Drosophila melanogaster: one gene and its partner. The protein of the gene in region 1 interacts with the protein of each later gene in a pairwise test. Each region holds a gene or a part of one and is shown in the gene's direction. Other genes may lie near its edges.

Region 1 (4,544 bases):
CACATCGGGTTGCCCATAAATACTTTGCTCATCTTCCTCGTCGCTGTCTAAATCGGGGCCAATATAGTTGCCAAACTCATCGTACAAATCGGAATCCATGGTTTTTCCTAAAATAAATATATATATCAATACTTTCATTCAAAATTTGCCGGTGGCGTCTTAGAAAATTTAAAACTTTCACGGTGACTCGAAACTTATGCTACTCTTGTTTTTTGTTGTTTTTACCGACTTACCAATTGTTACAGGACCTTCTGATTGCTAAATTCTTCTTTAAAACGTAAGAAAACTGCAAATAATATAATTATTCACAATTTTTACACAAAAACGCGGACTGCAAACACGCTGTTCTTCTTCTTCCCCGAAAAACACTCAGCTGTTAAGCGGCCGGCATTACCTACGGCATTGCCAGCACAAATAAAGTAAGCGCTTGCAGCCCTGGCGGCAACATTTGAATTTTCCAGTTCATTAGGGCTAATTAACGTTTTTGCCAAGAAAGCAGGTAGCTAAAATACGCGTTGAAACGTAGGTAGACCCTTGCGTTTATATTGCACTGCAGTCGCCAAAGGTAATTAGTCGAAAGTGTCAACCGAAGGTATCAGCATCATAATGAGAAAATTCTGTTTGCTTCTTTTAATGGCGCATTTTGTGGCCTCAAGCCGAAATTTAAACGATATTCTCGGTCGCGAGGAGTGGATTAGCATAGCCAAGGAATACATCAAGAACCACAAGCCTTACAAAGCCAAAATCTACACACCCTACAAGCCGCGCATCGTAAATTTTACCAATCCGTTCGATGGAGATTTTTGGGACACAACTACGGTGGCCACCAATCCGCAGGAGACTACTGGCTACTTCACTGGGGAAGTATCTACTACAACGGAGAAAAGTGCCACTGAGGAATCTACAACTACGGCGGTGGATTATTCAACCACCGAATCTAGTTATGTAACTTCAACCACGGATACTTTATATTCCACGACAACAGCTTGGCCGGAAGTCACCAGCACAGATGCTATAGATGCCACTGAATCAGTAGCCCTATATTCCACAACAACTTCGAGTCCAGAAGCTGCAGATTCAACGACAGAAAGCAATTCAGACAGTACTGAATATGCTGAATCAACGTTAATTTATCCAGATTTATCTACAGGATGGCAAGAAACTACTACAGAAACCATTCAGAGCTCTACAGGATTGCAGGAATCAACAACAACAGAGTTTATGCCAAGTACTACGGAATTTCCGGAATCAACGACTACTTTAAGTTCTGAATTTTCAGAGAAAGAACTAATAAAAACTACCACAGAAATAGAAATCAATCCAAGCACTACAGAATTGCCGGAATCAACGACTGAATCTGCTGATTCTACCACAGAACCGAACGAATCCACGTTTGCATTATCCACAGATCAAACTACAACTGAAACAGCAGAAACTTCAACAGAAGAATTGTTTTCAACCACAGAAACCCAGGAATCTACTACATCCTTGCTGGAAATCATTGCCACGACTCCGGGCGTGGAAACTACCACGTCGTATCTGGATGCAGTGATTGACAGCACCGAAGAGGAAAGTTCTACATTATCAACACCATTTGGATTTAATTTAACAACAACGGAAATAGTAGAAACTCAAGTAGAAACCACAACACCAAGGCAATTGAATTTCGTCGAAGATTACGTTCGCCAGAGACCGAGAAAATTGAAGTACTCTTCGGACACGGAGCCGGAACTTTACTGGTACTGAAAATGATTGCAAATAAAAATTAAGAGTTTGATTAAAAATTTTTAGAAGCAAAAATTAAGAGTTTTAATTTAAATAAAAACGTAAAGCAATTGGCAACGCGATTTAAGCTATGGCTTATTTTAAACTAAGAAACGCGGTCACACTGGCCAAAAGCCAAACACATTGTTGTTTGATTTTTCAGCAGAAATTTTTTATTTTTTATTAGTTTATATCGTAAACATGAGTTTGTCCAGCATAAAACAGAAAGAAGCTAAGGGCAAAAAGAAATTGCTGCCCAAACTGCGCAATATTCTAGCCAATCCTTACAAACAGCACAGGTGAGGCGGGCAGAAACCAATAAAAACCCAATCAACAGGTTGTTTCTTTTGACTTTAGCCCTCTTTTATCGGAGGAGGAAGTGCAGCAGTTCCGTCAGATCCTTCAGAATGCAATTAAAAGCAGCGACGGGCAGACCAAATCGTTTGCCACTCGATACGGAATACATCTCGGCCTGGAGAGCTCCCTACGCGCCATAAACTCGCGGCGTTTCTCCTGCCTATTGGTTTCCTTGAGCCTGCGACCAACTCACCTCGTCCGTCTAATGGCCACCAGTGCATCTGTCAAGATGCCCACGGCTCCCATTTACGCGCAGCCCAAACTGGAGGAGCTTACCCAGGAAATCTTTGGCGTTAGAGCGCTTTCCTTGGCCTTGCCATTAGATTTGAAAGCAATAAGCGAGGACTTGGAACAGTGGATTACTGCCCGAAAGAGAACACCTACACCTGCTAAGAAGATAGCCCCGAAAACGCACAAAAAACCCAAGAAGAAACCCGAAATAATCAAACCAGCCGAAGAGGAAAAAAAACCGCAGCTCCCAGTGGCTGAAAAGAAGGATTGGGGTGATGATTTCATATCCTGCTTCTCGGACGAACCCTCAGTAAAGTTGGACCGCGTGGATGTCCAGGTGGAGACCCAAAAACTGGGCAATGCCCTCAGTAATTTGGCAATGAAAGCCAAAAGTAAAAAGCCGGTAGTAGAAGTCAAAAATAACCCTGTTAAAAAAGAGAAGTCCCCCAGCCCAGAGCCCATGGAGGTGGAGCCACATGATGATGATGATTTCCTGCCCGCAGATCTGCACAACTATCGCCCCCTTACTGTCTACCAAGTGCGTCCTAATCCCGACAAGAAACCCAAAAAGAAACGAAACAAAAAGGCAAACAAGTCCTAGAGATGGTTGGCAACGCCACCGCAACAGCTGTAGTTTTTAGGTTATGTTATTCAGTTTGTTATCGTAATTGTTAAGGCGCCCACACAAAATGCTCCGGACTTTTCGTCAAATAGCCCGACTAGGAAGATCCCTAAGGACGCCATTTCCATCTAAAAGTCTGCCTAAACTCTCAACCACCTTAGAGCTGCAGGCTCCTGTACACACCAGTGCTTCAGCGTGGAAGTACGACAAGAAATCCTCACGAGCATCGGATGACTTGGACAGCGACGACGAGGATGATGAGGATTTCAAGGACGAAAGGGACTCCAAGGTGGTCAAGACCAAGGTGAACTCACTGCGCGCCGATCTCCTACTGAAAGCTGGCCTGGGCATGGCGAGAAAGTAAGAAACAGCCGAAGGTTTTCTAAATGCCCCCAATAACCATGATGTCTTACCTCCCACAGCAAAGTGGAACTGAATTTCTACGAGAGCAAGATACGCGTCAATGGAAAGAAGCTGCCCAAAAAGAGTGCCCAGGTATGGAGTCCATATATAGATCGAATTCAATCTTATGATTTACCATTTACAGCTGGAAGTCGGCGATGAAATCGACGTAATCCGAGGCTTTAGTCAATCGAATCCTTCCCATCTGGTCGTGGCCCGCGTCTCAATCCTCTCCGTCAGCGAGCGCGAGGAAGGACTCAGCGTCCACCTGAGGCGCTACAAATCCCTGCTGGTCGAGAATTACCGGGGACCCAACGCCTTCAAATCCTCAGAGCACGTTGCTCATTAAAACCAATTAGAAATAAAGAGACTATTAAGAGTAAATGGGTAAAGTCGAGTGAGTTAACTCAATTGCAGAAATGTGTAAGACTATATCGTCGATTTGCATTATTTTTCCTGTTTTCATTTATTTTGTAGTTGAACATCTAGAGTATTTTACATCTTTTCCTTTATATACGACTTATGGTCACCACATCCGACAACTCTCAGCCTTCGGATGCATTGGACTGCCCAGTGGGCACTTGTAGACCTCAGCAAAATCGTCGTTGTTGGAAACGGCACCCAGCACCCGATACTTATCGACGGTATGTGCGCCAGTGAGCTCCTCCCAGTAGTGCTCCGGCTCGTAGTCGGCGCACCACAGCTGCGCGAATCCCACGAAGAAGAGCTGCTCCGGCGACAGGTCGAGGCCGGGCATCTGCTCGTTTTTGTGAGCCAACGTCTCCCCATCCGCTCCACTTCGTTGCAGCTGCTTCATGTGGTTTCGATAGCCGGTGAGTGCGGCCCTCAAGCCACCGGCGTCCGCTATGTTCTCGTCCCTTGTCTCATTGCCGCGAATTGTCTGGTTGATTTCCGGTATCAAGTATTGGTTGAAGTAATCCACATAGCACTGCGCCCGTTCCTGGAATACCGCCTCCGACTTCCTGGACCACCAGTCGCGTACTTCGCCGGCGCTGTCGAAACTGGAGCCCTCCGTATCGAAGCCGTGGGTCAACTCGTGACCTATCAGATAGCCAATGGTGCCGAACTTCAAGGAATCGGGCCATGAACGGTGGTACGCAGGCGGATGCAGTACTCCCGCCATCACGTACACCGAGTTATCCAGATT
Region 2 (3,210 bases), on another chromosome or scaffold:
TTATTTGTAAAGATTTCAATCATGCAAAAACCCATCGTTTTTTCTCTTCTTTAATATACTTGTCTTTCTCGTTCAATTAACATATTAACAACTTTTCCATTTGCGGTCTAATCAGAAAATTATAGTTACACATTTGACTAACAATAAGTAATTTTCACACTGTATTAATGTAATGCAATTTTGCTGAATAAACAATGACAACAGAAATTTGTTGAGTCTGCTTTTGCTTTTGATTGCAAAGACGCTTTGCTTATTTGATGCGTTCTTTACATGTTATATGGACAATATTATTTGATTGATAACATTCCTCGGATGTCACCAATTCCATGATTTTTAACGAGCAAGTTAAGAATGGCAAAATGCCAAATTGCAGCTGCCAAAAAATCAACCAAAATGATGTGATTTTCAACGACATTTGAGGAAATGCCAGTATCAGTGCACAACACCCTGTCGATGGGTCAGACATTAAGTCACAATTGGCACAATTCAATTCAAGTGGAGGAGGAGGCTGGGGCAGAACCGTGGTTGACCAGAGGCCGACCGATAACCAAAGTTAAAACCCGACTGACCGGCTTGAAAGATCCGCTGCTGGGGCTTCTTCATCGGCCTGCTAGCGGTCAACGAAGGTGGCATAAATTGGCAAGCACCGGCGACGGCGACTTAAAAACTAAATTAAAAAAAAAATGCTAAAAGTACAACAAAAAGCAAGAGTCAGAGATTTAAATTGCATGCGAGCCGTAGTTGTAGGTTATTCGATGTATTTTTTATATATATTTCCAACTGCTTTTGGCTCTTGTTACCGGGCAGGCACATCAATCGAGCGCTGTAAAGGCCGTTGCATATGCCAAAAGTCAACCTGCGGTTCCATCTCCATCCACAGCCTCATCCATCGTGCACTTTGGCCATCACACATGGCTCAGCTCGTGTTCTTCGTGTCCGCGGCTTGAACTTGCTGCCCTGCCAATTGGCGGCGACAGCACTTGAACTTAGTCTCTTTTGGGCCACCAATATGTCGTCGATTTCGGTTCGATCTGGGCCCATCTGACGAGCTGTTCTGGTTATTGTTTCCCATAGTTCTTGGCCCGGTATTTCCCCGTAGCTGCCCAATCAAACCGCAACCTTTTCCCCAATGCATCTGCTTGATTCATGAACTTTTTCGAGTTTTCTAAAGCTACCAGTCGGCACTGACAGAAAATGTCAGTACATCTTAAATGTGGTATTATATTCAAGTAATTGTTTTGTTTATTTCAATTAAGATTTAAGTACTTAATGAGTTGCACTAAAACTTCGAAAGGTGGTTTTAGTGTGGGTGTAAAACGAAAGATATTCGAATGATTAAGTGTTATAGGTTTAAATAAATATTTTTTATGTTCTAACTACATTAGTTTTAACATGCTTATTTTTATGTTTGGTTTCTTGTTAAAAATATGAAGACATATTGATTGTGGATAACTATTCTCACAGAATCGCCCTGAAACTTAGAATGCTTTTTCGAGTGTGGGTGAAGAGCAATAATACCTTTCGGATGAGTACACCGCTGCACAAAGCCGCTTTAAATGTTACTTGTCGCAGCGACTTTGGCGACTTTGGTGCAACGCTGGCAATTGAAAAACAGCACAAAAAAAACAAAAACAAAATGGAAATAGTGGAAAACATTTAGCCGGCGACCGCCAGAGCTGCTGAACTAGCGAGCTGCTTGGCTTCTTCCACAATTGTGCAAATTTATGACGTTTGCAAATGCAGCCGCGAGTGCAGTATAAAATGCAGTGGACGCCGATGCAACGCCACCATTAGACAACTGCCAGTTTGTCCAGCCGCATAGGAGAATCTGCAATTTCGAGAACCGCTCAACATGATGAAATTGGTAGGTGAACTTGGATAAACGAGGCGCACCATGCCCAACCAGGATACGCAAAAGGATACCTAATCTCTTACCGCCTTGCAGATGCTAGTCGTTGGCTCGATAGCCCTTCTCCTGGCCCTGGCCAGTGCCCGGCCGCAAAATGATGTGGAAGTTCTTGAGTACGAATCGGAGAACACCGGCCTCGGCGGCTACAAGTTCAGCTACAAACTGAGCGATGGCACCAGTCGAACAGAGGAGGGCGTGGTCAACAACGCGGGCACCGACAACGAATCCATATCCATTCGGGGATCCGTCACCTGGGTGGCTCCCGATGGCCAAACCTACACCATTAACTTTGTGGCCGACGAGAACGGTTTTCAGCCGGAGGGTGCCCATCTGCCCAAGTAGACCTCCGCTTTCGAGGAGATCCTGTAAATACCACCTTCCCGAATGAACCCACAATTCCAACCAACCAGCCATACAGTGAGGTGCTAAGGTCCTGTCCGGAGGAGCTGTCCCTTGTCCCGTGGCAGCCAATCGGTCAGTCAGTTAGTAAGTCGATCAGTCAGTCAAGTCAGTGTCGTGCATTGTTTTCTATTTTCCTTGTTACTCGCATTAAAGCCGAACTTTCGATTCTCGAAAAAAATATGTTTTCTTTGTGGAACCCATAAAGTAAGTCACCAGTTCTGGGAAGGGTCATTCAAAATATGAAACTGCACTAGATAACTTTCCTTTATAATTATAACGAAGTACCAGAGTTATTTTCTATTTTATCGTATTTAGCTATGAAAATTCACACTTTTATTTCTTTTGATTCAAAATGATCAATATACAAGATGTTCCATCTAAAAAATTTACGAAGGTACTAATCTTAAAAATATTTTTAAGGAACATAACAATTGGTTTTATTCTTTATTTAAACTGAGCTACGATAAAAGGTTATTCAGTATTATGGTTTCTGAGCCTATTTCGATTTAATGACTTGTTTTTCCAATTGATTTCTAGTTTTCAACTAGAAGACCTTTTTAATTACCATCATACACCGATTTATAGGTGGGGAATATCCTCGCCCTGGGGTTGGAATCCGTTCTCATCGGCCACGTAGCTGATGGCATGCGTCTGTCCGTCGTCTCCTACGAAGCTGAAGGATCCGGCCACCTGCAAGGCATCCTCCTCGGGACCAAGGCTCTTCAGGGAGCCGTGCTGCTCCTGCTTGGTGCCATCGCTTGTCTCAAATTTGTAGCTATAGCTATCGGCATTGACATCGGACACCAGGTCAACAATCTCTGCATCCGGAGCGGCAGCAGCTAGGCACAGGGCACTTAAAAGGCAGGCGAGCACAAGGATGGATTTCATCTTGAATAGTC

The links.
Region 2: the proteins of CG4884 (region 1) and Acp65Aa interact in a two-hybrid assay, tested with the Drosophila melanogaster proteins (one large-scale study listed by BioGRID).

Annotation. Positions count from the first base shown.
Region 1 is NT_033777.3:27,956,597-27,961,140, reverse strand, and holds CG4884 (uncharacterized protein), read left to right. Parts: upstream 1-1,895; 5' UTR 1,896-1,965; coding exon of another isoform or gene 1,966-2,063; intron 2,064-2,121; coding exon of another isoform or gene 2,122-2,953; 5' UTR 2,954-3,041; coding exon 3,042-3,334; intron 3,335-3,396; coding exon 3,397-3,469; intron 3,470-3,521; coding exon 3,522-3,725; 3' UTR 3,726-3,785; downstream 3,786-4,544. Other genes in the region: CG31253 (uncharacterized protein), read left to right, coding at 607-1,746; CG42487 (uncharacterized protein), read left to right, coding at 1,966-2,063, 2,122-2,953; Nep7 (neprilysin 7), read right to left, coding at 3,903-4,544.
Region 2 is NT_037436.4:6,151,322-6,154,531, reverse strand, and holds Acp65Aa (adult cuticle protein 65Aa), read left to right. Parts: upstream 1-1,786; 5' UTR 1,787-1,852; coding exon 1,853-1,864; intron 1,865-1,945; coding exon 1,946-2,251; 3' UTR 2,252-2,482; downstream 2,483-3,210. Other genes in the region: Lcp65Aa, read right to left, coding at 2,891-3,199.